2 linked regions of the Styela clava genome follow. The protein of the gene in region 2 purifies or fractionates together with the protein of the main gene of each other region. This does not show direct contact. Links are inferred from orthologs where the notes say so. Each region holds a gene or a part of one and is shown on either strand. Other genes may lie near its edges. The genes, in order: iron-sulfur cluster assembly factor IBA57, mitochondrial-like; iron-sulfur cluster assembly 2 homolog, mitochondrial-like.

What was found.
Region 1: the proteins of iron-sulfur cluster assembly 2 homolog, mitochondrial-like (region 2) and iron-sulfur cluster assembly factor IBA57, mitochondrial-like purify together in Homo sapiens (co-immunoprecipitation; 4 studies listed by BioGRID and IntAct, with this or other methods). This does not show direct contact. The link is inferred for Styela clava from reciprocal best matches to the Homo sapiens genes ISCA2 and IBA57.

What each region holds. Positions count from the first base shown.
Region 1 is NC_135258.1:10,859,440-10,875,919, forward strand, and holds iron-sulfur cluster assembly factor IBA57, mitochondrial-like, read right to left. Parts: upstream 7,174-16,480; 5' UTR 7,142-7,173; coding exon 6,101-7,141; 3' UTR 5,758-6,100; downstream 1-5,757. Other genes in the region: translation initiation factor eIF2 assembly protein-like, read right to left, coding at 2,235-2,315, 2,902-3,047, 3,150-3,279, 3,638-3,666, 3,917-4,115, 4,583-4,692, 5,192-5,336, 5,607-5,757 and 1 more; ubiquitin carboxyl-terminal hydrolase 44-like, read left to right, coding at 10,657-10,797, 10,872-11,098, 12,475-12,631, 13,652-13,809, 14,545-14,690, 15,242-15,836, 16,246-16,480. UniProt on the Homo sapiens protein: Mitochondrial protein involved in the maturation of mitochondrial [4Fe-4S]-proteins in the late stage of the iron-sulfur cluster assembly pathway. Operates in cooperation with ISCA2 in the maturation of [4Fe-4S] proteins.
Region 2 is NC_135257.1:17,403,329-17,420,216, forward strand, and holds iron-sulfur cluster assembly 2 homolog, mitochondrial-like, read left to right. Parts: upstream 1-8,591; 5' UTR 8,592-8,698; coding exon 8,699-9,148; 3' UTR 9,149-10,009; downstream 10,010-16,888. Other genes in the region: serine/threonine-protein kinase ULK3-like, read left to right, coding at 384-487; uncharacterized protein LOC120345518, read right to left, coding at 10,674-11,990; tRNA N6-adenosine threonylcarbamoyltransferase, mitochondrial-like, read right to left, coding at 15,415-15,505. UniProt on the Homo sapiens protein: Involved in the maturation of mitochondrial 4Fe-4S proteins functioning late in the iron-sulfur cluster assembly pathway. May be involved in the binding of an intermediate of Fe/S cluster assembly.

The sequences.
Region 1 (16,480 bases), on a different chromosome or scaffold from region 2:
ACATATTTTTAATAACGAGGTTAAATTGGTGTGCATAACAATGTAAAAAATGCGCATGAGGAAAATCTTCTTTTATATAAACTTGAACACCATGTTTCGACCCACTCATGACTGCCGCGCCGTCATAAGTTTGAGCTATCAATTTTGACTTCGCGTTGTAAGGCTGTAACACTTCTTTCAGTACAGTCGATATCCCGCAATCCGTGCGATCAACGATTGGTACAAAGCTGTGAAATCTCTCGGTAGGTTTACCATCTTTCACGAACCGAAAAATCACAGCCAGTTGGGAAACGCACGTGATGTCAGTTGTCTCGTCAGACTGAATCGAAAGGAACTGGCAATTCTCAATTTCCAGAGCCAAATGTTGTAAATAAATTTTATACATTGAGTCGAGCAAATCATTTTGGATATCCTTAGATGTCCCTTTCGAAACAGTTGCGGCATCAAGATGATCTCTCAATACTGTATCTAGGGATGTGGTGTATTCCACCATATCCAAAATCCCCCTCTATTAGAAGAGCCAGCCTGTTCATCGTGCCCACGGAGGGACAGCTCGTGACAACCAATGAACTTCAAAACATCTATCAATCGACCGAGAACATGGCGGTTTTTCTCGACGTTTTGGTTGTGCCGACGAATAGAAACCGCGCGTCCTTCATCCAACTGTGCTGCAATATTAACATTTCCGAATGTTCGGTATTTTACTGCATTGTCCAGATGCTCCATAGAAGATTGATGATCCGTGGCACGCTCGGAAAGATGTTTAAGATCTCTAAAACCAAATTTACACCAACGTGAGTCACGGGCGGTAGCAAAAAGTAGGCAATAAAAACAAAAAAGTGCATTTTTGTCCTCGCTGTAACACAACCATTCGTGTTTTTTATATCAAGTTTCTGCGCAGAATGTACGCCGACGCTATGGGATTGTTCCAGTGAACAATTTTTTGGTTGATAAGGCCCAAGACGTTGTACCTCCAATTTTTGTTCCAGCGGCAGCTGCGAAAACGGAGTGCGAAGTAGTGCATCAACCTTATTCATTATGAGGTCTAAGGCTAAGAAATGCGAAGTCGGAAAGAAGTGAGGAGCTCAAAAGGAATGTGGAAAATCGAAAGCAAATGGACTAAAGGTCTCTAACTGATTCAAATAGCGAAACAAGCGACAAAAACGAAGGCGAGGAAACTATCAACTCTTCAAGCAACCAACGAACGAGAAGGAATGCGTGAATATGTCAACACGTTGTTGTAAGAAACGTCGGCATAGTGTCGTCATAATTTCGGGGCTAGCCCCGATGATTTAGTAAAAGAAACAGAAAACAAACGCGGCGAGTGGAAGATAAAAGAGAGAATACGATATACAATGAGCAACCGGGGCAAAATCGGCGTCGCCCCGTCGACGTTCGGCGAAGGCTTTGCGAGCGAAAAATGAACCATGTCGGGAGAATATGGCTAGTGTAGACAGTCTGTGCAACCGATATTGAGGTATTTTTCGAATATTTTTTTTCGGCCCTATTGACGCGCCGCCACTGGTAAAATCGATAGCATAATACCTATACACAACTCTAGTTCTATGCAAACTTATTGGAACAGCCTGCATCTTAACACAGTCAATTAAGTAGGATAGGATTTACATATCCTGGAAGAGAGGAAAGTCGACAAGACGGCTTAATCATATGGCGAACCTCGGCATCTCGTCCGGTTGCCAAACCATCTCTGTTATGGGATTAGTCAGTCAGTTATTTGTTTTAGGAAGCATGGACTGGGGTCAAACTTCTTCAGTCAATTGTGATTGAGCAAAGAAGTTCAATTCTTCCCAAGTAAAAAGTAAATTTCACGCAACTAGTTTGATACTCGCCAGAAGATGACAGTCCTAACAAGCGGTGAAAAATGCATTGGGCGTACAACACGCATTGAGCAGAGGTACAACACTGGGTATACAGTAAAGTCAACAGCAAGATTTATACTTTGAGCAAACTCAACCATATCGATATCTGCATATTTTTATTGAATTCTATCGCGGAATCTTGTTCAGTCTCCTGACATTTTGTTCTATATCCGTTTACAAAAGAAGTATTACAAAATTTTATTATGCGCACAAAAATTTAATTCGAACTATTTTGGCCTATCACATTGCCATGCCATGTAGGCAACATCCAACAGAAGCACCAGATCAATTGATCATGCCAATTTCACATCGGCTTTCCATAACACCTAATCATCATTGGAATTGGCTATCTGTTCAAGTGTTTGAGTTGGAAGCAGGTAACTGCCAAGGTTCATCATCATCAGATGATGAATCGTCGTTTTCATTTTGAATTTTCTGGAAAATATTTGAATTCCACAGTGAAAGAAAGAAATGAAATCTAGCTGATACAGATCACATTAAATACCCTTTTTCAGAAAAAAGACTATACCAGGTGTTAGCATTCCTAACTAGGCTAACTACTGTACAATAAACTTAGGTAGTAATATTGAATAATGCTGCATGAGACATTCACAAATTCATTCTGTTATATTCCTGGCCAAAACACCCATAATTTGTAAAACAAATGTGAACTGCTTGTCTGAGAAATTCTGGGTTCAGTCATAAAAACATTACAGCATAAAATTTGTTAAAAGTTTAATTTAACCTTTGAACCACAAAGCTATAGCTGCTTTGATTTTTATCACAGTATCCTTGCCACTAGTGCAATATGGGTGCACCTACACAAAGGCATAGAGCAGAAACGGTACTCCTGAAGTATGCGCATCAAGATGTCGCACAACCTGAACCCTAAACTGGTACACAACCGGAGTTCAGGTTGTGCGCCATCTTGGTGGGCATACTTCAGGAAGTCCGCAGAAACAGTAGTTAGGAACACACCACCACATTCAATCACTGCTGAGTAAATTCAAAATTAGTTTACCATTCTTAAAAAATCAACTAGTTTTGTTGCGTCTTCACCGCGACTTAAATCTAGGAAATCTTGTGGCATTCTATAACTCAGCGTTTCACTTGGTTGCATTGTTGCATCTCTCTTAGCAAATCTGAACATTCCAATGGGTTCACCATCTAAAAATAAAACAATGTTTTTTCTGACTAAACTGTTCGATTTTATTTATGTGCACATGACCTTGTATCCAGCAAATTCTTATGAAAAATACAATAATATACCTGGTGTAATAATGGGACAATCTTCTTCAGTTAATTGTGATTGCACAAAAGAGTTCAATTCTTCCCATGTAAACAGTAATGAATCTGTCATTGAACCCCAAGGATTAAAATCAATTATCCAGAATTTTCCCTGAAACAAGAAAAATGTTGTTTGTAGGTCATTAAGTGAGCACATTCGACAGTTTACTATGAAACAATAAAATGGGTCTGGTTCATTACTGAGAAAATAACAGCAAAACATAGAAAGCAATTGCAAACACAACTAGAGTTAGTAAATGAATGAATTTAACCTAAATTCTTAATCAACCTAAGTCTAGTCATCAAGGTAAAAAGCATAAGCTATATGTCCGCCATCTTGGTTCACATACTTCGGGAATACCATATTTCCTATATTACATCATGATCATCTAATTTACCAATTCAGAAATCCGAAACTGAAAAATATATTTTCTAAGAACAATGATCTAGTTAAATCTATTAATACTCACATCTCTCTTCTTGTAGATGTCAACAACATCTAAAAAAAATTGGGTTATTCAGTACTTTTGAATCATTAAAATAACACAGGTACTAGAGAGAATAGTAATGTAAAATTTTGCCAATGGTTATGGCATATTGGCATTCTCTAATCCTTCATGAGATTCAGATTTGTAGCACTCACACAAAGTGATCATTGGTTTAATAATGATTGTCAAGTCTGTAACATAATAAATCATTTTTAGACACTTTATATTTCATTCAATCATTTTCTTTTACAAGATACTCACAATTAGAATTATTAAATTTATGTTGAATTTTTTCTTGAAAAAATCTGCAAATTTCTACAGGTAAAGACTGTTGTTGGCTTTCAACATATTCATAATATTGTTGATGATGTCTCTGACACGCAGCAATGAGTTTGTGGTTTCGTACAAAACATCTGAATTCCATTCCAGGTACTAAGTTTGCCCATTTCCTCAAAACCAACTGAAAATATTTAATAAATCTGATAAGAAAAAAGATACGGTTTTATTTTGGATCACATTTTCATAAATTTTATTTTGTATTGTTCCATCTGACCAAAGGCAGACTTCCTCAGACAAACAGTTTACAATAATGATAAAAAAAAAAGAACAATTATAGGATGCATTATACATGCATGATATTTATGACAATATTTGCTGATATCAATATTCCGATGCTTGGAAATTGCTGATTTGATGCTGATGCTGAAATTGTTAATCTAATTTAATAATCAGATTATTAAAATTTGACATCCTTGCAGTGGGAACATGATTTATGTCAATATCATGTAATATAAATCTCAATAAAATATTCTAATTTAAATTGAATAAAATTCCAGAAAACATACAATTCGGGTGTGAACATCCCTTCTGGCGGAAAGAACGACATATATATAATTTTGAACAAATTATAAAAGATTAAAATCTTACTTCTTTCTGGAATTGTGGATCTGGTATTGAATCATCAGTACATAGTTTAAATGGAGATGTCAAATCGTAAGTGATGAAGTCGGAACTTTTCATAAGTAAAATGATGTCACCTGATAAAACAATAAATATAGAAAAGAATTCAATTTCACGAAGCAGTATTTTGAACTCTAATTTCTGATATTTGGACACACTTTAAAAAATATATTGCTGTACGAAGATTGTTTATAATTATTAAACAAATGAGCAAGGTGATTCGAGTGCATCATAGGAATAAATCGAACAGATTCTAATTGATAGTTCCTCTTTGATGTAATAATATTTGTGTCGGCATGATACGCAATCAGTGAAAAGTTTGAAAATATTTTCAACAACAATTAACATTAACTGCCCAAGTTTTGGCATCAGGCATTCTGTAACAAGCAGAAGCAAAAATGCTAGTAGTAAGCCTCATCTATGTTGGCAATAATGGCTAAGGGTCAATCAGGACCATTGTCCTCAGACAGAATGTAACAAGGAAGTAGCCAAACCTAGTTTCAAGTTTTTCCAGACATAGTGGTGTATTCAATAACAACCCTATTTCATGAAAAGGGTATAAAAACATAAAGTCACCTGGAGTGTTACACTTCAAACTATTATTCGATGTTATCCAAATAGCATCTTTGGGTGAACTCCAATTCAATTTTGGAAATGATTTCCAATTTAATTTCTCTAAAACTTCTTTGATTTGTTCCAGAAGAGCAGTGAATTGAGGTGCCTGTAAACAACAATTGTCTTCTTCAATTGCTTCTCCATAAGTATATAAACCACAATCCAATATTTCCAAGCAAAAATATTGCAATCCCAGTACTGGTATATTTTGAAATAGGTATATAATATATACATATACCAGAATTTTTTTGTAATAAATCTTCTGAATTAGTAAGTTAGGATAATTATGAATCCATTTTTTCAAATTATGACTGAATTTGGCGTCCCTACAAAGGCAAGAATATCACAGATTCGAAATCTTAGAAAATCTTCAAACCTCATTTTCATTTTGTGTTTCGTCTTCATCTGACCAATTTTCATTATCATCGAAATTACTTTGTATACTTAAATCAGCACCTTTTGGTAATATCAATGGACCATCTTTTTGCAAATATTCAACAAAATCATCCGGCAATGGTATAATAAAGCTAAAAAACAAAAATCCACAAATGACAGCCATCGATTATTAAACACATTTGAAGTGAACAATTACAGTTCTTCAACATATTCAGTATTAAGAGTTCAATAGCCTGAAAATTATGAATTTCAATCTAATAGTTAAATTATATTAGGAAATTTAGTGTTATTTACTGATATATGTCAAAAACTAATTTACATTGCATCTAGTATAAATCAAATTCACTATATAATTTAAAAGAATCCTCGAAAAATAAATCAAAGAACTGTTGAATTCAAATTAATACGAGAGATTAAAAAGCGATAAATGTAAGCAAAAAATAGATGAATATTTGTTAAATCGAAATAAAAAGATCATATGTTTTCCTCTGTTGCTGGGCCACAAACTCCGTCAGAAAATTCAGTGCCATCTTCAGATGGCCACCACATTGGAATATGACATCGAAATTTTAGCTGACCATCTTTTGAAGAAAGTGTCTCTCCTGAGTAGTTCAGTCTCACTAATGCAAGACCTACTTTACCATCAGAATGCATTGATCGAAACTTTCCTGCACTTTTTCTCTTCTCTGTGTATATTGAAGACCCAGATTCAATAGATCCTTCTCCTTCTATGCTCACAGGAACAAGTCGTTTTCTAATGACACCGGTGAATTTGGTACGAGCTGTGAGCTCTTGACCAATATAACATCCTTTATGAAAGCTGACACCATTCATAAAATCAAGATTGCATTCCAAGGGCAGACAAGTTCCAGGTGGCAAATCTAACGGACCCTCTGGAACACCAATGTAATGTCTTTTATGATGATATGCATTAATATCCATGTTAATTAATGCAGAGTCACTTTCTGACATATTTTCAACCACCAGTCTATGCCCGAGCATTGGGACCCTCGGGTCAATGGCAGAAGTGACTACATTGCTGAACTGTGGAGAAATATGAAAAGAATTTCCAGACATTGCCTGCACCACCGATAGATTATCTCTGGGTGTAATACTCAGTTTTTTTCTCAGTTTATATAATTTTAAAATTTTAATGATACTTTCGGAATTTGACGACTCACATTCAAGAAGGACTTTGTTTTCTGTGTCGTGTTGTTGATGATATAACATAATATCATGCATAATGCGTCCATGTTGGTTTAAAATCATTGCATACATGCATTTCATTTCAGGGAGAAGTTCAACGTCATTGGTTATAATCCCTTGTAAAAAATTGGTAACATCCCGTCCTTCGAGTTCAAGTAAACTCCGATGTTTCAAATGAGCATATCTGACATTATCCTGATCCTTGTCAACAATATGCATATGCCTTGCACTAGACAGCATTTTTGATTTCGAACAGAACCGCGGAAAGATACGTCGTAATAGTGTAACTCTTGACATAGCCAAAGACATTTTAAATAAAATAAGATTTCATCAACTCCTACCTTTTTATTGTGATGTCTGAAAATTGTGAATACCATTTTGAGAACATGCAATTCATCACATGTTCTTTTGTTAATGTTGTCATATTGTAGTATTGTTGAGTTTCAAATTTTGAGGAAGTTTAAGTATACCTTAATACCAGTCAATCAATAATTTTTCTAAAAAAAGTTTTGTAATCTCATGTTTATATTGACTTCAACAATCCATATTTAAAAAAAAAGATATGACTTTATTGGCAAAACTAATATATAATAAAATACAGAATATGAAAGTTCTTCATGACCACTAACAGACTACTAGAATTGCATGAACAAGAGGACAAGAGTAAAACTGTAAAATGAGACAGGCATGGTGAAAATAGATACCTGGATCTAAAGAAGCGAGTGCCTTGACGATTACGCCCCTATCCAGTTATCTGTAAATATAGTAAAGATAGTTGGGCACAATATGTCTATCTCTCAGTCCTCCATGCAGACGCAGTGATGTAAGAAAGCAATCTGGTATTTTTGTATTTCATTATTTGTCAAACAAGTATTACTGTATTAACATTCTTGAATATCTGTCTGAGCGAAACAAGTGTCTGAGTGGCCTCACTAACTTTACAGCTTTAATTGTTACGTCAATCTGTCAATATTAACTCATTGCCGATAGGCCATTAGGTATTACTGCATTACGGAAAGAAACATGGAAATTGATGCTCGTGGAAACATCCATAGCTTCCTTCACCATCAGATCCTAATTCAGTACGGTACCGGTAGGCTACCGTATTTTCACGCTCCTGGCAATGCAAACAAAAACTCAGTCAAAAGGAAAAATTTGTCTCAATTATTGAGTTTATATCTGAGTTATGCAAGTAAAATAAAAAATTAACATAAGCTGCGGCAGACGGGTCCAAGGACACTTGCAACAACATCGTGATCTTTAAATTTTGTGTCTTACCCGACATCTCTTTCAATTCCAAATATAGGCCATCCATACAAAGGTACATATGGTCTTTGGTGCGCACGATGCTAAGCGTTACGGTATCATAGCGCCTGTGATAATCATACACGGCTCGCAGCTGGACTCTTCGCAGTCTGTAGTGGTGGTAGCAAAATAGTCAAATTAGGGATGGCCGAATACGGTCACTGGGCGTCAAATTGGAGATGGAAACTGCTCGGTAACACCTACATGAAGTCTATACACCTGAAACAAATACATGACCAACTTGAGCCACCGTGTGAGAACTGAGAAGATGGTGGTTCTACTCTACACCAAATGCTTATTGTCTGCTACACGGAGATAAATATGGGAACCTATCCATTTAGTTATGGATCGAATCTTATATTCTTAATCGGAAAAAAACACGTCTGCTTCAGTGAGTCATTATTACATAGTGTTGAGCATTGCGAATGCAGAATATATCAGGACTGATGCGATTACTGGTACTTGATTTTATGGAAATCATGTGCGAAAACACGGATTCGTTTTTTCCGAAAGCAATGTATGCGAGAAAAGAACTTCAAAGTAGCGTTTAGTTCTCGTATACCCCCAAAACATTCCGGGACTCTCGTTGGTTCATATTCCACCGAAAAAGAACATCTGTAATAAGACTAATTATGAGAAATGAAAGATCAATTTCATTGTTATGTCATAAACGTTTTAATGGCATTGCTGCTAACTACATACAGGTATATTACAGTAGTTGACTTGTCGGCCGGTTATTATCAGTTTTCATTATGGAAATGTTGGTAAGTTTTGTTTTCATTAATTCGTGATTTGGTGACTCACCGAAAAAGCATGCTTCAATTGCAGTGAGCGTAAGTGGATGTAAATTCGTATTTCTTACTTATGACTAACTGCTTGCATCATTTTGTCATTTCCACCCCTTCTCAAAATGCCCGTTGGACCTTTTTATTCGGGAAGCACCTCGGCGAGAAAATTATTACGCAACAAACCCTTTGAGAAACCAAGCACCGCCCTGGCAAGTTTGCTCATCGTCAAACATTTATCACGTGCCCACGCTCATCCACGTTTGTCTGGTAATTTATTCTCTCCTACAAACGAGAGAAGAGAAAAAATGAAAGATAATGGGACTACTGGAGCATGACAGGTGACGTCACCATACAGAGTTATTTTTGCTGGAGATGGTTGGGCGAAGGAAGTCGTTGCCCGCGTTCAATGCTTTGTTCATTGCAGTTAGAGCGGAATTTCGGTCATTTGCGTAATGTTGTTAATGAATCTATATGTTAGATGTGAATGCCATGAATTTTGACAGATCGACTTGGTATACCTTACCCTGCAAGCCAGTTACTACTCCAGTACTCAGCTCAAAAATAGGCAAATCCAGCTGCAGAAGCGTGGTGACGTTGCTGTGATATCCTAGTATCCTGGTATTTAGATGTCATAAGTTGATACCCATGGTTCGTTTCGTGCTTGTAAAAATGCTGTAATCTTTATTGTTAAGTATAGTTTTTTTCAAATTAATATGGGTAGCCTATGTACCTGATTTAAAACTTACAAGTGCAATTAATTTCAGCAATACCCAAATCTGTAAATGCAGCCAGGTGTCAAAACATGCCATTTTTGAAGGTTCTATGGTACTAACCTAGTAATGAAATAGCCTAGCCTACTAACTGCTTAAAAATAAACAGAAGAACATTATTCTAAAACAGATAGCATCTTGTAGTTCAGTAGTTTGTTAGTCTTGTGTTATTGTATTGATAAGTTCTTCTTTGACCGCTTGAGGAATCAGATGTTGTTGGTTCTGTGGTTTGGGAAGTGGACAGCAGGATTTCCGTATTTGCCAAACATATTGTTCACATACGGCCATTTATATAAAATTGATGTTCTACATAAATTATAGAGTAATTTACATTACACAATCAGCACGGCTGTTGAAAAACTAAACTAAGATTTTCACATTGTTACGATAGATGTAAAACGAATTAGTTATAGAGGCATTTACTACTAAAATACGGCACACTAAACAGATCGAGAGACATTGTCTCGTTCCAAAGAATCCCATTTTGCGGATGAACAAACACTTCTCCTTTCGAGGACGTCTGGACATTGTTGTCCCTCAATATACGTTAAAATGAAATTGGGCAAAAAACTACAGAGAAGCGCAATCTAAAAACGTCATTGTTGAATTCCTCTGGAAAAAATAATAAGGAATCAGAAGGAAAAACTTTCTACCGTGGCATTCGAGAGTTTTTAGCAAAAACAGCAATTTTGATCATGCGACGGCCACGATTAATTTACATTATTATCGGGGCACACATGACGCCATATGGCACCTCTATCATTGTGTTAGACGGCCCTCGTTTGTGAGACAGATGGAGTGTTTGTTTTATTGAACCAAATGACGGGACATTCTTGGAATTCGGAAAGTGTGCTGTACTGTATTATTTTTATACTATGTTGAATGTTTTACTTCATTTTTTATATTGTGCAGCTGTTGAAACTTCTGACTAACTTAGTTGACGTCAAAACACAGATCTGTAATGAAAAACAACGCTAGCAGTGTTCGTATGCCATCACCACGTCAAAATGCCGATAAATCTTCCCCAAAACGAGGATCTAAATCTGATAATCAGAATTTGAAGTTGCAAGGTGGTTGCAAAGGTGCCAAGCCGTGCACAAAGGTACCTATAATTCCATGTATATTAATTCTATAATAATAACACGAACATATCTATAATTATTGAAATTTATTTAGGGTGGAGATACAATTGTTAAACAAGAAGAAAATTATCTGGCGAGATGTACAAATTTTCGGTTGACAACTGGTTATGAATTGAGCATTTGTAATTGTAAGCATATTCGAAAGATTCGAATTGGAGAACGACATTCGATTGTGAATCCTCAGCGATGGTTATGTGAAACATGCTTCACAACAGAATCTGTATGGGCGTGTCTAAGTTGCCCGAATGTAGCATGCGGCAGGTACGTATCTGAAGCCTACACTCTGTATGTTTTACTGTGATATGTTGTTATTTTTCGATATCCCTGTTGCGTCAATTAGTTTCAATAACACAAATTTTACTTCTGCAAATTCACAAGCTCACTCGCACATGATAGAAACTCACTCAAGAGTAGAGAGATATATTTCCTGTTTTGTGTCTTTGTACTCAGCACATTAATAAGGTCTTGTATCATCAATGTTTTTAGTCAATCCTATATACTTTTGAATAAATTATTAACTTATTGCTTTCGGACATAGATGGACCAGATATTAGCATTCCTAAATGATCAATCAACTGCATGAAAGCTCTAATTTTTTTTGCCATTTGAATTTATATACATTCATCATTTGTATATATTTATTTCATTAATTTGGTAAGTGAGATAAAATTTCTATTTGATAAAGGAATGTATTTCAAAATGATTGTATGTGAATGTGTTCATACAACTGGGTTCGAAATCAACAAATTTACAAATGTCAGACAATTGTATTTGTTCGATAATTCATCTGCTCGCGTCAGGAAATTATATCTGTCTTTGGAGCCCTCTTTTTCACTCATAATATGACATCAGAATTTTCCGTTAGTTTTGGCCAGTTGTGACTAAGCTTTAAGAAAGTTCTCCAATACTGTAATTGCTAAGCTGGCTATTACCAAATATTAGTTTGTTATACTAAATCAAGTTTGGGCCAGACATAAGATATCAAATCATGAAAATATAAGGATGAACTTTCACCTGGTATTAAATTGGTTATAAAACAAAAGGTCAATTTGTCCTATATTAAACGAGTGGTTATGCTCTAAAACAGTGGTTCTCAAGATTTTTGAGCCGAGCCCCCTTTTTAGAAAATCCCAAGTCTCATGCCCCACCTCAAAAATAACTAGCTAACAATAAGCTACGAATAACAGATAGTAAGGCGAAAGTATGTTTTATTTATAAAGCATGTTGGAAATACGTGTATACGTGTACGTGTATACATAATAAAGAAATGTTTGAGCACTACTGTCTAAAAAAAGGCTTTCTCAAACTTATTTAGTTCCATATAATATTAAATAGGCATATTGTTTTTTTATTCGACCTATTTATACACCTCTCTGGGCAAGGCTCTGTATAAGCATCCGATAGGTAAGAACCTATGATATTTTGGAAGGACCAGATTCCTTGCAATTCGTCATTGCCTATCCAATTTATTACAGTCTGAGTAAGGTGTCATACATAGGATTTGAACCCAAGATTTTTAATCAGTAATATTACTTCAGCATCTTTACCACTTGGCCATTGCGCCTATTGTATTTGTAACAAATAAACAAGAATACGTGGTACTGAATATATGTAATGTAAAAAATTTTGTTTTGCAGGTTTATAAAAGAACACGCCCTAACACATTTTCAAGAATCTGGTCATCCACTGGTTATCGATGTCAATGAACTGTATGTTTTCTGTTATAAATGTGATGATTATGTGCTTAATGATAATAATTCCAGTGACATCAAAGTCCTCAGAGAAACTCTTTTGGTAAGAAATTGGAAGGAGTAATGTCGTTAAGATAAATTTTAATTTAATGCTCTACCGGAAGATATTATATGAATTAATAAAATCAGAACGCAATTTCATATATGTACTATAGATAGAACGGATTCGTGATTGAATCTTTGTTGGAAATTTGTTTTAGTAAAATCTGCTAAACAAATTTTGTGATTTTGCCAGAGAAGAAGTAGAAAATTTTTTTATAGTATTGCAATTTGCAGACATGTTAAGTTTTTTTCCTTACGTTTCCAGATGTCAAACTAATTTTAATTTCACCTCATTTATTATTTTTGATTTGATGTGTTATGTAGTAAAATCATGAGACATGTCAGAATGTATTATATAAAATAATCTGAACAAGGCTTTCTATAAGCAACTCTGAAATGAAGGATAACTACTATGTTTCTGGTTTGGCATTACCTTACCAACTTATTACACCTTGGGGGAGGTGATTGCCATGGAATCTAAACTCAAGATTTGGGGCTCCCGAAGTATGCGAACCAAGATGGCGGACATCGGAATGTAATATGTGTACTAGGTTAGGGTTAGGCCATAATTTTATGTATAAATACTACGGGAGGCTCTTGACTAGTCTTCGAACTGATAATAGGACTAAAATAAGGAAAATTGGAAAAAATTATCGCCTAACCCTAACCTGTTGCCCATGTTACGTTCCGATGTCCGCCATCTTGGTTCGCATACTTCGGGAGCACCCAAGATTTTTATCTGCAATGCCAACATATTTCAGTCCAACCATCGCTTTGATACATAGACTTTTGAACCCACAAAACCCACCCGACCTGATTATATAATTTTATATGACAATGGCAAGTATTTGGCAGCAACTTTTCAGATAACTCTCTATAAAACGACATATAAACTTCACGATTATCAATATAATAAATTCAATTTAGATCGTGATTAGTAAATGAACTACCAAGTAATTTCGACCCACCCATATAAATTATTTAAATTCACGATCACCAACATTCATATATTCTCATCCAGGCCATTCGATACCAAAACTTCACTGGAACAACTCGCAGTGGTCATACTTTAAGGTCAGCAATGATCACTGAACAAGTTGATGTTGAAATGAGAAGACAAATGCAACAAGAACAATTAGACAGAGATGACAGACTTTTCACTGCTATTTGGCATTCTAGGTTGGTTGTTACTCTTTCGCCTTACCTCTGTTATCAAAAAGTCAATAATCAATGAAGTTAAGATATCCATCGTGTTCATTAGTAATACCAAATGAGTTAATAGTCAAGGAAGAAGTCTAGTTACCTTGGCACCAACACAGCCTATTTTAAGTTATTTGTGCAACAAGCTAGTAAATTTTCGGTTTTAGAACAGCAACATCATTCTACGTGTTATATGGTTAATCATATTACACCAATTATTTTTGCTATTTCAAAGACTATTCGAAAAATAACCTTAAACACTTATTACAATCAGTGTACTAAATTTCAAACAAAATTAGTATTTAAAGAGAAGATTATATAAGAGATTACTATTAAGAGAAGAGATATATTCCACATAATTACTTATCGATTTCAATCGGTAAGTATGTTGATAGGTATTTGTCTATCTGTTCGTCTGTTAGATGCACGCGATATCTCATGAAAGCGAGATTGAATCTGCTCCAGATTTTGCATGTGCATTCATCATATGTCGGACCAGAAGCCTATTGATTTTGGATGAATTATGTCGTATAATTAGCGAGTTATTAATTAGTGATGGGACACAAGGTGTCACTATGGAGTAAGAACGCTGTTTTGGGGGATCCCCTAACTTTCGATCGATAAGTCTTCGGTCTCTGACCGATATTCTCTTTTCGTTCTCATTGTATACAATTTTTTATTTCAAATTTTTTATGCATTATTCTTTTGTCTTAGGTTTGTTAGACAACGAAAAGCATTCCGACGATGGGTTCGATATATTCATTGGAAAAGAACAAAAACTGTGTTCCCATTAGAAAGTAGTGATGATGACACTGAAACTGAAAGCTCAGATATTGTAATGGAACCACCAGATCTCACAGGTAAAATAGTCTGTCCATTTTGATATGAACACTAATTAATTATTGACTTGAACTCACCATCTTTGGCTTGAAAAATTGCTTCTTTCAACAGTTTTCCATGTCGTAGTGACTTGAACTGGCCTGTAATGCTCCACCATAAATGTATACTGTTTGTCATTTCAGTTGTTCGTAACTTTTCTTGGAGAGGAGTCTCTTTTACTTTTGAATGAGTCCACTCGACTCCGATTTGAGTAAATCCAAAAAATTAGTAAAGCGGGTGGTATTGGTGGTATATAATGTTTTAGATAGTAACAGATTTTTTTATATTTGAGCTGAATCACAGGAGGGTTCATGTGACTGCTGTACGGTCCGTTACTGCTGTAAAGTTATGCACCGGGACTGATTGAAGGGGCTGTGATTTGCCATAATTTCCAAGCCTAAATAACTAACAAAGATTGTTATATCACATCTTTTTTTAACTGAAATAATAGAATGTTTTCGAAGTGGCATATTTCGCACAGTATTGAGCAATAGAAAATTACTTTGCTGTACTAAAATTAATTCATTTTTAGAATCATGCCAATCTGAACCGCTCATTTCTTTGCCGACTAAGGAATCCGATATCAAGGTGCTGTCTTCTTCACATCATATTGATAGTGATGATGAGAATAATTTACTTTTACCTGAAATCTCTGTAAATTCTGAATCGGATACAAAATCAGATACAACGGACACTGATGTTAGTGATTTTCCAAATATAAAATCTGACTTGCCTTTAATAGAAGAAGATATCCAAATGGATGTATCATTATCGAATATGACGGAATTATCTGAAATTACTGAAATATCGCTTACAAACTCGGATGTTATATCTTATTTGCCGCAGACTTTTTCTTCCAATCAAAGTACATCGCAGGTTATGAAATTACCCAGCGTCGATAATAATGAAGAATTTGCGATGTCCGATGCATCATCATGTCATTTGTCATCTAACGAGAGTTTACCTGGAGTAAATGAGACCGCAGATGTTATTGTTGATGTCATGCTAACTGATGATGTCATCAAAGATGATGTCACAAAAGAGGAAGAAAATTCTGATGTAACTGAAGTTCCTGTGATTCCTTTGAATATTTTATCGAGACCAAAAAGATCTAATGCGGCTGCAAGGTATTGTGTAGATCGTTTATATACTATTATTTTTTGCCGGTTTTTCCATGCATGAGTAAGCTTCAAGTCAATGTGTATATAAAGCAATATTGCTTTGAAAAATGTAAGAATAGTTTAAAAAGATAATTGCCACTGTAAAATTCCCTGTTTTGGAATACTCTGCACCTCCCAATTTAATTTTTATAAATTTGCAAAGATTTTTTCAAATTTTTCTGTTTATTTAATGTTGATTGCTCAATCAAGAATATATTCGAAAATACCCCTTTAAAATATATTCCCATTAGTAAGATATTCTATTTTGGCCATCTTTGACCTATTGACAAAAGAAAAGCACCTAAAAATTAAATCATTTTTCCTAATTATTCCCACTCAGTACCTTTGTGAAAAGAAATCGCATTTTTTTTTCCAGATACAAGGAAATTTTTGGCAGTTTAAATAGAACTTCAACAGTAAAAAGAGAAAGAAATATACCCTCGCAACCAAAGTTCGGTGAAGAAGGTTCTCCTGAACAAAGAAAAATGAGTCTCAGACCAAGACCGTCCGGTCGGCGCAGCGATCGAATAAAGAAAATTAACAAAAAGAAAGAGAGAGCATCAACGACATCTAAAAAGAAAGTTGTGCAAAGAAAACCGCAACAATCTGTA
Region 2 (16,888 bases):
AAATCGCCTTCACTGTGTCAAAGGAGCCGCCATCACTCGTTAATTCTTATCACTCTTATTAAAGCAAATTTACATATATATTAATGTCTTTATCGTATTTTTTGTTCTATTTGTGCAGATAATTTTATGCGATTCATGCCTAATTCAATATTAATTTTATGTTGTGATATATCATAGTATTATTTTATCTTAAGAATCTTTTTACCATGCCATGAAAAGGAATTTCAATGGTTTTGTTTGAGAACTTGCATTTGTTTAAAAAAGTCCAAATGCCTCTGAGCCTAATTTATGCATTGTTTTATGTTTCACTTTTATTGATCGATTTTATTGAATTTTTGATATTTGATGCATTTAGTCAGTGTTGGTGTTATTTTTAATCGCAGCGAGGTTCAACCATTGGACAACGTTCTTTGTCATCTTCGTTGCCATTTTGTTCGGTGTTGTGTTAAAATTAGAAGATATCTGGATGATGATCTCTACTAGATGATATTATTATCCAAACTGGACTGATAACATCAACCAATTCAGACACATGCAGTATTTGAATATATTTTTGTGCAATTTTAGTCTTTTTATCTATTGTTGTGCGCTTAATGGTAATAAGATCGTCTGTTTTGCTTTTCACAGAATTTGACTTATATCGGGGCACTACAGTTGTAGTTGGCGACTTTAAACTTTTCCGAATCGAAATTTCAGGCTTCTATCGATCAACTTTTGAGTTGAAATATTTCCTACTGAGCTAGCAAGCGATGAAACTTTCCTATGAAGTTTTGCTATAATGAAGGTGGTATTGCAATTTTTAATCGATTTTTGAATTGCTCGAATTCTGAAGAAATAGATAACATCCGTCATTGTGCACAAAATGACAACATACAGGACAATAAATTCAGGATAGTTGCCAAGGTTTGTGACAACAATATACCGTAATATATAATCGATCTTCAATTGTGCCACTGAATATAAGGTAAGAAAAACACTGAGATTAGACAGCATTTGTGAGTACGTTGAAAGGTGCTGGAATGTGCGAGTTTTGTGTCAAATTTCCAAGAAAAGTATTTGTAGGGATTCACCAAAGTGTAAATAGCACGGAAAACCTATATTCTGAACCTTGGGATTTGAGAATATTTGTCATTATCACTTCCCAAAATAGCGAAGGTTTTTGCTCAAATAAGTCACCGTTCAGGACGATCCATTTCAATAAATCCATTTTTTCAACTTTTGTTTTTTTGAAAATCGGTATTGCAGTGAGGCACACTATCATACGTTATTTTCGACACCCTTTTTCTTTATTCGTGAACGATTCACTGTTCCTTCCTACGAACACCTCTAGATAGATAAAATTAGGCTTTTCAGTATAGCGTGAATAATTCCGGTGGTGAAGTAATTCTGTGGGGAGATTTCTCAGGCTCAAAATTGACCACTATTGTATGCGGTAGCTTTTATTGTGTGCTCGGATTACCGCAGAGCGATCAAAATATCATGGCGTTGCTAGCAACAACCCTTGGAGATAGGCAATGTACTTCATTTTTGGGTCAAGACCTTGTGCATCCTTCGATGACTTTGAATCGCCTTTCAGATTTGTGTGTTTTTCGTTGACATTTTAGGGATAAGTTCTAAACTACATCAACAACGTTCAACAACATGTTCTTAATTGCTACAATGTTTTCAAATGGCTAAAACATTATCACGGGGGAGAGGAAAGCCGATAACACGGCTTAATCATATGATGAACCACGGCCTCCCGTCCCGTTACCAGACTATAGCTACAGGGGTGGTAGCACAAAAGTCATATTGGGGGTGTCAAAATAGGGCTGACGAAATAGGGTCGTCGAGTCAAGTTAGGGGTGGCGAAATACGGTCGGTGCGTGTCAGATTGGGGGTGACGAAATACGGTCGCTGCGTGGTGTCAGGTAAGGGGTGACGAAATACGGTCGCTGCGAAGAAATCCTAAAGATTTGATTTTCGCATGTCAGAATAGTAGCATCACGTTTTGAACTGGACATATATTTATACCAAACATAGCGTATATTCCGGTAATTTTATGAAAAGTATATATGTAGTATCATAGTTAAAAGTGGTTTTGTAGTTCAACTAAATTCGCTAAATAATTGAACAATTATCTTTTTACTTTTCAATATAGCGTATAAATGTAACATATTTTAAAGAGGAAGCTTTCGAGAATCGCTTCTTGGAAAAGTTTATTTTCCTCGAGATGACGTTGACATTAATCGATTTAGATAAAACACAAAACCAATTCAAAAGATTTTACGTCTGAATTGTTGAAATATCGAAGGATATGCGTTGTGTTTGATATTACGTGCTGCTACTGTTCTACTATGATGAAATGGAATCTATGAGGGTTTTTCTTTTCTTCCAATGTGTCATAATACTGCGCTTATAAAAAGTTTTCGAGATATAGCCATTCCAAAAACGATATATTGAAAATTTTGAAGAGTCTACGGGAAGGCGTGAATTTTTTTTATTATTTCAAAGTAAGCTAGCCGCAACTTATTCCAACTTTCAAAACCGTGCTGCTACTGTTCTGCTATAAACAAATGGAATATAGAAGGGCTCTCCTCTTCTCCTAATGTTGCCTTTATTTGAAATTTTTGAGAAATCGCTGTTTGAAGAAGACCTATTTTCACCATCGAAAATTTTTGAATGAATCCGCAAGAAGGCGTAAATTGTTCTACTATTACACTGTAATTTACGCAAATTACAACAACTTGTTAGACGTAGAACACGGAATTTGGACAATAGTATTAGAAAACATTTACTCGGGTATTTAGTAAATTTGAGTTAAACCACAAAACCCCATTGGAATATTTTTCGAATTGTAAAAAATTCGAAGATTATACGCTGTGTTTGGGATTATATACAGCCATATCAAACCGTGCTGCTACTGTTCCGCTATGATTAAATGGAATCTAGAAGGGTTCTCCTTTTTTCTAATATTTCGTAATGTTGGCTTCATTGTAGGTTTTCAAGAAATCGACCAACCAAAACTGTAATTATTTAAAATAAAAAATAAAATCCACGAGAAGCCGTATAATGTTTATAGTTATTTTATACCATTTCCAACTTATTCCATGTGTATTAGACGTCTCTGTTCGGTGTATTAGACGTAAAAAGGTAATTGTTCAATTATTTATTAAATTTATTCAAAATACAAAACCACTTTTACCTACGATAAATACATATTTTTCATAAAATTATCGGAATATACACTATGTTTTTGGTAATATATATGGCCAGTTAAAACGTGCTACTACTATTCTGCCATGATGAATTCGAATCTACAAGATTTCCTTTTTTTATAATGCTGGCTTTATAGTAGGTTTTCAAAAAATCGCTCATTCAAAACTGTAATTTTTCTACATTTTTAAAGAATTCACGAGGTAGCGTAAAATGTTTTTTATTTTATATTCTCCGATACTTGTTTTAAATGTATTAGACGTTCAGTATCAAAGTAAAAAGATACCTGTTCAATTTTTCAGTAAATTTAGTTACATAATTTATTTAAACTATGATACATGTATATTTTTCATTAAATTATTTGAATATGCGCTATGTTTGGCATTCTATATGACCATGTTGAACCATGATGCTGTTCTGTCATCATAATACATCGAATCTATAGAGTTTCCCTTTTTCTTTAAATATGTCGTAATGTTGGCTTTATTAGAGGTCATCGAGAAATACCTGCCTAAAAACGAGTCATTAGATCAATTGTAATCAATCATTATCATAATACTTGTTTTACAGTTTATTTATTGCTACTGTTGCTTGTCTATGCGAACTACAGGGTTGTCGCTATAAAAGCAGAAAATTCATCAAACATTTAATTTTTACAAAGAATGACTTTAATGAAATTATTAAAGGCATATGCTATATTACATTCATGGATGCTAAAAATGTCGTCTGTGCAGAGCAGTATCTTAGTCTAAGAAATTAGTAAGAATGCATTTTATCCTTGATCTCATTCGAGCTTGCAAATTTCTGCTTTTCTAGCGACCACCCTGTATATTTCAAATGTGGCATCCAATGATATCCAGCGAATCTAGAATTCAACAAACTAATTTAAAAGGTTCCACCGAATAGCACATAGCCGTATAATTATCATTTCATATTTACATAAACATTTAAAAGATTCTCCGTAACATTTCGAGTGCAATTTTCGGATTGGACTCATTTCTTTCAAAACCTTTTGCTCATTTCGACTTTGTACATTCTTAGATGCATCAGATGGAATATATACGAATGGGTATGGGTGGGACTAAGGGTGGCACTAAGGCAGGGTCGACCAACCCATGGCCTGTGTGACCCGTGTGTGATCACATGTGACCCGCTGAAGGTTTCCGAGTGGCCCGCGCGATATTATTCGAATCCCAATGTTTTTCATAAATCTGAGCCATTATTGAAACCTCTAATAAAAAGTTATTCCTCGTCGTTTAAACGCGCGAGAAGCACCGCCCAGCTATCGAAAGCTATTTTTATGTCTCTTTGTGGGCGTAGTTGCTGGAGAGAGATGTTTGAATTTATTTTTATCGTATGCCATGTATTTCAATCTGATTCCCTGTCTTTTTTCTGCGAAGCTAAAAGAGGCAGTTTTCATGACCTCAATATTCGACAGTAGTTACTTGTGCGAGCAAGTTTTTTCACAGATGATCCATGTCGAATCCCCCTGAGATCACTAATTTCGCTAATGAAAAATTCGCTCTGCATTGCTACCTCGTCCATCGCACCGAATATTGACAAACTTATTGGATGAAAGCGGTGTCATACTTGACATTGAAATATATATGCGTAGTAAAAACTTTTGACTTTACTGTATCTTCGTATTTTCATTGTGCTTATAATTTTGGTTTGCGGGTTTTGTTTGGTTTTCATTAATCTGCAGTCGGCGTAGTAAAAACTAGAACATAACCACCATGTCAAGTGGCCCGCGCGATCATTCGTGAACTAAATGTGTCCCTTCGGCCAAAAAGGTTGGACCACCCTGCACTAAAGAATGCGTTTCACTTACTTAACATCTTCTGAATAGCGTTTCATCTCTTAAAGACATTCTCTTAGAATTCGGTTTCTAACTAAAAGAATGAAAAACCAGTGTCAATTACATTCTAACATGGGTATTTTTACTGATATTTTACATGATGCTTGTAGACCTTATTCATACAAAAACATTTAAGCTTAATTTTGATATGATTACTTTTTTTATACCTACTTTGTTGCTCCGAACTTTAACACTCGAACAACTTGACTATTGCAGTGACGTTTTAATGCCCCCATATAGACGTTACTTCGAGTCATTCACCATTTACATATTTTAAGTAACCAATGACATACACTCACATGAAAACCTTATTTTATTATTTTAGTCATCAATCAAAAATGTCAAATTCGTTAATATCATAATTGAACAAGCAAGTAATTTGTCTGAATTTATATCTAGGTATATTTAATTATTGCTTATAGCATCCCAAACGCTTGCCAACTAAATTATTCTTCCATTAAAAGTTATTGATGGTCTCGGACAAACCTACAATTTATCACATCTAAAGCTCTTGTTATTCAAGTTATAAATATTGAGTGGTACTGGTAACTGATCTTGATGTCCACACGATCGTATTGATACCAGTTGCTGTACAGTCTATACCGAGATTTTGTTGCTTACAATTATATTTTGTCGTTTTATTGTTTTCTGTTTGACAAAACAAATAAACTTTCCGCTTAAAATATGATAAATCTTTTACTATTTCGAGATGTTCAAGACTTCAAGAGCAAAACGTCATAATATATCAAACATACCTTCACATTAAAAATGTTAGTCAAATTAATAATCGAAAAAATTTGAAACAAACTAAGAATTATTTACAATGTTTAGTTAAATTTAATTAGCTGATTTTGATTTAATTTAAATTTGGCATACGACTCGATCCCTCTGCATAGAGAGATTTCGTTAATTTTAGTCCCCCTATGCAGAGTGATCCCAGTCGTACGTCAAATTTAAATTGAATCACGATCACTTTGCACGATGACATAAATCATGTTTTTTTCATGTCATTTTTATGCATAATTAAATAAAATATAATAATAGAAATAGGAAAAAAATTGTTTGACACTATTTGAGGACACGGAAATTTTCTTAAAAAAATTCAACCAACTGTAAAATATTCTGTTATTCGTTTTTCATATCTTGTTTTGAAGCTCCCGACGAACACAAACGTATTTCAGGCAACATTGTACAACAAGATAATAAATATGCAGATGTATTTCATAACGTTGGCCTCCGAACTATGCCTCCGTTTTTGATTTTTATTGAATGTTACATCTAGGACTCGAAGTTCCGAGAGATTGTTCCTTTGAGCGTTGACTGTTTTTACAATACGGCGTGCTCTTTTCCAAAATTTTGCTCCGTGATCGGTTCCTCATTCATGCAATAAAACACCAGATGCATGCACCATTTCATAAATGAAGGTTTGTCATCGCCGATTTCATAAATAATTTCTATTTAATTCTATATTCCCTAGCGTCACTACCGGTATACTCTCACATCTTTATTTAGGTTGATAGTAATTAACAGAGGCTCAATTGCCACAATAAACATATAAATACTCGGCGAATTTCTGATTCTTGATTTCATCCAGCTCGCTGTTTTACGGTAACTTGACACGCTGAGTGATATTTTGCCATCTACATTCTGACACGCCTCGACCGTATTTCGTCACCCCTAACTTGACTCGACGACCCTATTTCGTCACCGCCAATTTGACACGCAATGACCGCATTTCGTCAGCCCTATTTTGACACCCCCAATATGACTACTATTTAAAACTAATTTCAACTATCATTTATATTTATTTTTCCTAAAATTACCAAAAAAATACGTCATGTTTGGTATTATATATGGCCAGTACAAAACGTGCTGCTACTATTCTGACATAATGAAATCGAATCTATGAGAGTACTTCTTTTACCCCAATTTGTCGTTATGCTGGCGGTTTTCGTGAAATTGCCCATCCAAAACTGTAATATTTCGAAATTTCCCAAAGAATCCACGAGGGGGCGTAAAATGTTTTTACCTATTTTATTCTCTCCGATACCCGATTTAAATATATTAGACGTTTATTATCGTGTATTAGAATCTAAAAAAAGATAATTGTTCAATTATTTAGTGAGTTTAGTGGAAGTATAAAACCAATTTTAACCATGATTTATATATATTTTAACTATGATTTATATATATTTTCTCTAAAATTACCAAAAAATGCACTATGTTTGGTATTATAAATGACCAGTTCAAAACGTGCTTCTACTATTCTGTCATCATGAAATCGAATCTATAAGGTTTCTTCTTTTCCCCCAATATGTCGTTATGCTGGCTTTATTGGAGGTTTTCGGGAAATCGCCCATTCAAAACTGTAACATTTCGAAATTTCCCAAAGAATCCACGAGGGGCGTAAAATGTTTTTACCTATTTTATTTTCTCCGATACCCGATTTAAATGTATTAGACGTTTATTATCGTGTATTAAAAACTAAAAAAGATAATAGTTTGATTATTTAGTGGAAATACAAAACCAATTTTAACTATGATTTATATATATTATTCCTAAAATTAACGAAAAATACGCTATGTTTGGTATTATATATGGCCAGTTCAAAACGTGCTGCTACTATTCTCTCATGATGAATTCGAATCTATGAGGTTTCTTCTTTTCTCCCAATATGTCTTTTTTCTGGCTTTATTGGAAGTTTTCGAGAAATACCTGCCCCAAATCGAGTCAATATTGAAATTCAGTCAATTTTAAAGAACCCTTTAATACAGCTTGGAATTTGAAATTGGGACATTTACAGTTGTTTTAGTGTGTTAATATATATTAAAAAAATGAATAGTGTGATGACTAATTGTTTTACCTTAATTGCTATCGGTAAATCACTCAAAATATACACTTCCCAGCACAAAATGATTGGGAACATTTGATTTTACGTGTAGGAATTTTCTGCGATTCTGTCAGCTCCAATTTCGTGACTTTCTGCTAACTTCACAGAGGTTTCGAGAGTATTGTATACAACAAACAATCACGCATATTTACGATTGTTTTTTCTTGTGTGAATGTGAATAGGGTAAGATTTTCGTATATATCCGATGGGTCTCTAAGATTGGACACCTGCAATCATGACACTCACTTTCGATCTGTATAGTCGAGGTAGCCCTTGTAATCATTCGACCGCAGGGACTTGCATGAAATCATAGGGTATAATACAACTAAATGGAAATGTGCCAAGAATGGTTGTATCAGTTAAGGTTAAGATAGTTTATTTTGAACATATAAAGTATCTGTTTTTTTTATTGCAGTATCATGGTATTCAAAACTCAGTGCTGCAAGAGTACCGGTACGGTATTAAGATTGAGCACAAACAGATGTGTTTAGGATGTTATAATATATTCTGTATATTTGTGCATCAAATGTAGTATTTTTAAAAGTAGTGTAAACCAAATATCTGAGAGGCGATTAAAATTACAAGACAGGAACCACCTATCTGTCACCACTCTTGACTATTTATCATTCTTGTATAGTTTTAAATCTGTAAATAAATAATTTACCATTTCTAGTGCTGGTGAACTTGATGATATACCTTGGTTAAGTCAAGATAAAAACAACTTTATAAAAGTCTCGAATATACTCAAATGCACCATGTCTACTGTTACGACAGTTGGGAGAATTTTCACACGTTTGATGCCATCTATATCTCATATTTCATCATCACACACAGTGTGTCGATGTCTGTCTCAAAATGCTCAAACAAAGCCTTTGAACAATGCTGACCTTATTCTGACAGAATCTTGTGTTGAACACCTAAAGAAATTTTCTAAACAAGGAGAGTTTCTCAGAGTATCAGTGGAAGGTGGTGGGTGCTCTGGATTCTCATATAAATTTGATCTCGATACAACGAAAGAAGCAGATGACAGAACGTTTACAAGAGATGGAGTTGAAGTTGTAACAGACTCTGATTCTCTTGATCTTATTAAGGGATCTAAAATTGACTACCAAACTGAAATTATAAAATCTGCATTCAGAGTTATTGATAACCCACAGTCGGGTACTAGCTGCTCCTGCGGAGTTTCATTTTCAGTTGATTTATAGTATTTTATATTGTTTAATGCTTCATACAACTATTGAATGTATTCATGTTATAATTTTTTTAAATCATATTTACTGTGACTCCCCTATTATGAGTAAAATTGCGTTTTGTACAGGCTCAAAGTTTGAGTCTTATAGTTGCACCCTCGTGTTGAGTAGACCAATAGAAGCTTCCTACCCAGAAAGTTCAGGTTAAATGGTCTTAAGTGCCAAATCTCAACCTGCCTTTGTTGGGTTTCTTGAAAAACTGTTCGCTATGCCAACCATTATCTGATAACACACAAAAATGTGTCATAGCTGTATTATTTATTTTTTGTTCACTAAAGGTAATACACACAAATCAAAGTATTCACACGAAATCTGCATGATTTGGTTCAATGTCACCGTAACGATTTCACTTCTTGATGACTATTCTCACAATTTTGTAAATCAGTTCCATTGTACTTCTTAAATAAAGACGTTTTTCTCTTAAGCAATTACTGGTGTAAATTCAGAACTTGGATATATATTATTATACCATAAATGTTTGTTAATAGCTTCTGCATTTTTGTTTTTACAAGATTTACAGAAATATATTATAAAGAGTTTCGGAATCAATTTCATTTGGCAGGTTTGAAAATATACACCTTTATTTATAATATTGTTGAGAAAAGAATATCAGACACAGCATGCATAAACCAATGTCCTCTAGGTGTATCAGTTTAAATTTGTAACTTTTGAATGGAAGTCTCAAATATTACAATTTTTTTAATTCATGATGTTTCCATTGTTCCAATTTGTTATTCAGCCCCTCCATCATGAAGGTGCATTAAAGAAAGGGCATTTGAATATCAACTTTGGAATAGAATGCGATAGAATAATTTTGTTTGCCTATTTTATATCAAGTTGTGTAAAGGGACTGAAACCTATGGGCAGGGGGAGTCCTCGAACTCTAATCGGAATAAAATTGTGGCCCTTTGTACACTTCGGGAGTACCGAATTTGCTAACCAACCACTTTAGTGTCCATACACAGGTGATAAGGCCAAGTGTAGGTAACACTCACAATAGTTAATCAAGGAATGTTTTGGCAGATTAAAACTCCCATGCAGTCTGGACAGCATCATTTTGTGGCGGTGGCAAGGCCTATGAATTTATCAAGCTGCGGGTAGGGCAATATACAGATTTTACCCATCATCACAAAACTTTCTAACAATTGTACACGGTTCTATATATTTTGTACAAAGCATCAACGCTTCATTTCTAATATCAGGTAAGAAAAGAATAAATATAGAATGACAATGAGTGCAATGCATGATTAAAATAAAAACACTACAGATAAAAGGTAAAAACTAGCGAAATTAGATTTCAGTAAAATGACGGGATGATCATGGGAATCAACTGTACGTATAATAAGACATAACCTTTTATTCAATGTAGAGATATTGAAATTTGTATACTGCTGTATTGTTTCAATGATTTAGTTTATTTCGTTCATATATATTGTACTTAGGAATGTTTTTGGTAAGGAAAAGTGGTCTCTACTGTATTTCATGGGATTAAAGCTCGAGTATCAGAATCTGATACGTCTGCATATTCTTCTTCATCAGTTTCCTGAATTGTTTCTCCCCAACCGCCATCTCTGGGACTGTTTCGAGGTGATGCACCTCGATATAATGCATCCATAGTCCTTCTTCTGACAGCTATGGCCCCAGCAATACTTAATCTTCGCATGACGTCCAGATCAGTTTCGTCAAGTATCTCTTCCTGTATTAATTCTTCAATCACATCTTCCAAAGTTATAATCCCTATGGCCATATCAGCATCATCACTACTTGTGACACAACACATGTGGCTTCTTCCCATTTGAAACTGGTTAAGAAGATCAAATAACGGAGCTGTTTCAACTATTCTTGGTAAATCCCTTTTCTCCTTTTGAAACACTTCCCGTATAGGTATTTTCTCATCTGGATCAAGCTTTATTAATCGTTTTACAAGTAAAATTCCAAGAAGATGATTCTTGTCTCCTTCATAAACAGGGATTCGTGAATGTCCAGTATTGAGTATCTCTTCCATTGTCTGTTCATCCATTACTCCATCTATATTCAAAGCGAACAACTTTTCAATTGGTGTATAAGCTTGTCGAGCTAATTTGTCTCTCATCGACAACGCACCCTTAATTATCATCACTTCATCTTTCGACAGTGGGTCCTCATTTTCTGCATCAAGCTGTTGATGAAGATCTACCAGAATACTTAATTCTGCTCTTCTGAAAAATGTTGAATGATCACCACCGAGTATACAATCCAGGAATTTAGATAATGGCCATGATATTGGTAAAGTGATAAGCATTAGGAATTTCACCACGGGTGAAAGTGCTGATCCAATTGCAAGACCAAATCTTGTGCATAAGGCTTGAGGAAGTACTTCTCCAAAAATTAAAACTGCTGTAACGGATACAACTATTGCGGTGACAGGGTCAGAAATACGATCTAAGAATAATGGCATGCTTTCCACAGCGGCAGCATTTGTTAAAAGCAATGTTACAAGTAATAAATGATGTCGCTTCACAAGTGGTATAATTTTTTTAGCATATTTTCTTTCTTTTGGCTTCCCACCTGAAGCTAAAACATTTAAACTTAGCATGTCCAAAGAAAGTAAACCCATTGTCAAACCGCTTACTAATCCAGCGATGAGAACCAAACCAACATAAATCCCCAAATATATCCAAAACCATTTGTCTGTATAAGTTAGCGGATCTTCTTCTTCGACATATATAATCCCACTGCAATTGAGTTTGTGTCCTTCTACAGTACAACTGATGGTTTTTCCATCCTCAAATGTTTTTAATAAAATTTCATTTAGCATTTTGGCTAGACTGTTAACATATGATAACACAACGTGTTAAAAATTTAACGTTATCTATAGTTTCACATTATTTGGGGCTAAAATTCGCAGTATGTTAAGTTATAGATAGACTATATATTATATACAGATATGCCTATATATAAGAAAAATTTAAGTTTAGCCTATGGCATGGAATTAATTTGATTCCCTTTTTTCATTGATTTAGCTTTATTTGACCTACAAAAATAGACATCGAACACAGATTATTTCAATGCACTGATGCTTAGAAGTTGCTGTTGGAAAAATCAGTCACAGACTGACTGTATTGCTATGCAGCAATAAGGATTAAACAGTCTTATTAACTTCTGTGTCTACTTAAACAGGAGTAAGTACTTACGTCAGTGCGTTATGACTACATCTACATAACTGACTTCTGCCTTCTACTTTAGTGTAAAATTTTTATTTTATTTAATTATATTTTCTTCCCACCAAAAAATATAACCGGTATAGGGTCTGGAAATATAAAAAAAAACGGCCGAGATAAAGTAGGTCACACGCCCGCATTGCTGAATCAAAAACGATGTCATTTCTCACGGACGTTTGCCCTTTGACCACCAACTTGCAAGACAGCATAATTTTCGTCGGGAGTGACGCAATGTGTACCGGTATCTTCTCTTGACCTTTGGTTTGAACCCCATCGAATTTTTTGCACTCAAGAGGTTCACAACCAGGCTCTATTTACCCAACGCCCCGCAATGTTTACAAGCGAGGGTCATACTTCACTCAGCCTATTTTTGTTTGCCAATACCCTGGCTACAAATTGATTTAACATTGAATCTACAAGATGTACAGTACATATGAATCTTTTTGCTAAATTCTAGTTGTTTGAATTCATATTGTGGTTAGGACTGCGCTTAAAAATCATATCACGACCTAGTTAACACTTCATTGTTAAGAATACTGTCCATCTGCTGAGGCTTCGTACTTGAGATAATGACAACCAAAACGTGGGCTACCTTATAGGCTTCACGATAGAATGACTTGACTTTTACAGCATACTGATGTAGAAAGAAGTAATAATATGCGAGTTTTCCTTCGGCATCTATTGTGCATATTCGTGACAAGTGTTGCCTGCGGCGTCTGACTGATTACACATAAGCGCCCGTGGGAGGAAACGCGGGGGCAACACACGTAATAGAAGATGGCACAATGACTCGGCGGTGAAAGTTAGGTAGGCATGAGTTTTCGGCATTCGCTTCAGAAACGTGGGCTTAATATAGGTCATGCGCTTGTTTCATGCATGCAACGTAGTCCATACCTGTGTTTCCCAACCCCTTTGTACGGGAAGCTTGAATTAATTTGTGTCCAAAATTTTTATTAACTGAAGTGATTAGATATTTTCAACTTTCCCTCGCAAATTAATGAATTATTCGCAACACGACATTCAAAAGTAGCACACAAACGAACAATAGAGAAGCCCGAGTAAGCTGGCAATACTGATAACAAAAAAGGCGTCGCCTTTACTACGCATAATGATACAAACCCCTTGCATATCGGTGGTTGTTCTTATTTAAGCTGAAGGCGTGAATAAACGTCATATTAGCAAGGTGAGGCAAAAACACATCTTAAATTCTTACCTGTTATTGCTGCAGTCGTCACATAGTTTAACTAAATTTATGTTGTTTAATGACTGACATTTTGATTTCATTAAACAAGCGATTTTTTTGAATTTTATGAAAATGTTTGATGACGGGTAAACACCGTGGCAGACAGAATTAATCAACTAAAAACACTACTTTTGAATACAAGATCTTGTTTTTTGAATTACTAACACGCGCTGTTGCTGATGCTAAGATAATACTAACATTCATCTCGCAAAAAAGAGTTGATAACCGTCGCACAAATTGAAATTCTCTGCTCTGCCGCTCAACTCACGCTGACCACGTGTAAAAAAGGACAAAATAAAATAGGAAAAAACGCGCACTAAAGAAAAATAGGACGAGAAGACAAACCACCCATCACATGTAATTTATTACACAATATTCGACTACTCTTTCTAGCTCCCAGTAAACTGTGTATAAGTTTCGGTCCATGCAAAACACCACATATGGACGAGCATATCGACGTACATTATCGATGACCCAATTACCGAACCGAAATACCCCACATGACGGCAAATGTGTGTCAAGTATTGTTCTATCTAGGTCAGGAAAAGGCTCTTATATATATTTATAATATTACATATGTACAATATATAATCTAGTACAAAATTCACGATACCGCGTATGTCGCTCAACAGCGTGGCATCACACGATTGGTAGAAGTAGAGCATTTTACAAAGGAATATTGTATAGGTATCGATCGCCTTTGATCAGGCACAAAAAATGTTCCAGATGCGAAAACTGTCATTATAAATATGAGAAAAAAATTATCACTTTCTTCAAAGTAGTGCAGATTAAATCACACATAGGACACGCGTATAGCGAGGATACTTTAGGAAAACTGAATTGACCAAATTCCTGTCTAAACCAGCTCAAGCTACAAGTTGATTGATATTTCACTCTGTCTTGTTTAGGAGCGACGAAATTTTATATTTTTTCCATGGTAAAAGATGAATAGTAGTCAAGTTTATAATCTTTTTCATTTCTGTACCAAAATATCATTGTACAACTAGAATAAAAAATAGTCAAGACTGCTTTCGATTTATTTCGGAGACAATTTAGGATGAACTTACTTTCAATAAAACCGGATGCAAGACATTTTGAGAGAATTCATCACCATCAAATTGTTTTATTACTCTTAAATATGACAATTCATGCCATTGGATAGAAATGATAAAATTCATAGGACATCAGCAACCATTCTGAGTTTTGAGACAATATTTCTCATTAGGTCCTTATGTAAGCAAGCAGTTATACAGAGTGTAAAGTCCGTTCCTAATATATCTTAACCAGGTTTGTTGTTTTTTTAATCAGTACTTGTTCAATTATTTTCACTAAGATTTTATGGACATCCTATACAACAGATCACAAGTCACGCATTCTCAATTCCAAACAATATAAATCACAGAACATTTACAATTTTTTTGTTTCTATCAGTTGGCAAACCCATTTGTTTGTTCCAAAACTGGCTGTTGCTTAACTGTATGATCTTCTGCTTGAAAAAGCTCTTCGACTTCGATTACTCCTCATGAGTGATTTTTAAGCATTTCAAAAGAGAATCAGGCAGAGATGAGGAAGAAGAGTTGACCTTTTGCCTTAATCACTTAGACCTACATGTTTATTACCTTTAATAAAAGGCATGACGTACACACTAACCATCACAAAGCAGCATATTTTTCAAGTAAATGCGCTCGATTTTTGTTCCCTGATCATTTGGCGCCAGAGGAACGAAAAGTTTGGCAACCGCTGTCTTATCAGATTTCACTTAACTGATTGCAGGTGATTCAAATGTGACGTTTCCAACTTACTTTGACTTTTGGCAACTTTATGTTTTCCTTGATAATCTCATTTCCAATATAATCACCTAGTGGAGATCTGAGTAAAATAGAATATAATAGAATTTTTTTTTAAAGAGAGGTTACACTACTAAATTTTGAAGCTGAATTCTGCAGCTTAATAGAAAAAATCTATTGCAAGGTGTGGCTTTTGCAGAACTATGTATGAGTTCTCGCTCAAATAGCCATGACTAAATAATACCAATAAAAACCTGAATACATGAAAACATAATTTGAAAGTATGAGATAATCAATAATTTCAAGTATCTAGGTCTGTGCTCTTCAACCTTTTTGTTATTGCGGAACCCCTGATATCATTTTTCGTTTTTTATGGAACCCCAATTAACAAAAATAAAACACGAAATACTCGTAACACGAAATATTTGTAATTCAAATATTTCTACTTGAACAACGAAACAGAGAGAAGGTAACAAGCGTGAAATTCAATGACTAGGTTGTTCTTGCATTTCCTTTGCAATCTTCTGAATCGTGGCTCTGCGGCGCTCACAGCAATTCTCATACTCATGTCTACACTCTTTTAAACAACTTCTTTTTTGTTTTTAATAGTTGTTAAAGCAAAAAATGCTGATTTACACAAATAGGTATTGGGAAATTAACACAGAAGTTTTAATGCTTCTTTTGCAATGCTGTACCAGTAGTATTTAATAATTGATGTAATCTGGACTACAATTTGGCAATAGTTAGGCATGTCTTTGGTGAATAAAAAGGTTTAGCCCACCTCTTCATGCACTCAACTTTGGCTGCGCAATTTGGCATTTGACTCCAATTATCATCAGCTTGGCGAAATCATTTTTTTTTGTCCCTGTATTAAATACTGTTCACTCTTGTTTGGGAATTTTTATAAAAATATTAAAATGATGTGGCAAACAATTCATATTATTTTTTTTACATTTCATCTTTTATTCTAATTTCTTTTTTATGTGTTTATTTTTATTTTTTTTGTTTACCATATAATTTATCAAAAGCTTCTCTCTTTTTTTTTTTTTAATTTTATTAATGCCCTATGGTTGTGTGTGTGTGTGTGTGTGTGTGAATGATTTGATTCAATAGTTTTAGGTGAGTGAACACGTACCACTCCTTTTTGGCAATACCTTCCATCTTATATTCTGTACGTTTTAAACCTTATCCAAGGTTTTGTTTACTCTCCTGATTTTATAATCAGTTTTTATTTATTGGTTTTTACCAACCATTTTATCGCCTTTTTGCTGATTATGGAGTCGAAATAAACTTATCTTATCTTATCTATCTCTTTGTGAAGAGAAATCCAAAAATATTCCTTCCCATGTTTTTCGAAGGTTTCTTCCGAGTTAATATCATTACGGATATCTAGAAGTCCTTCTTGCTGTTGCGCACTTGGAAATTCATCCAAAAACGTAAAAGGAGAATATTCATTTTTTGCAAC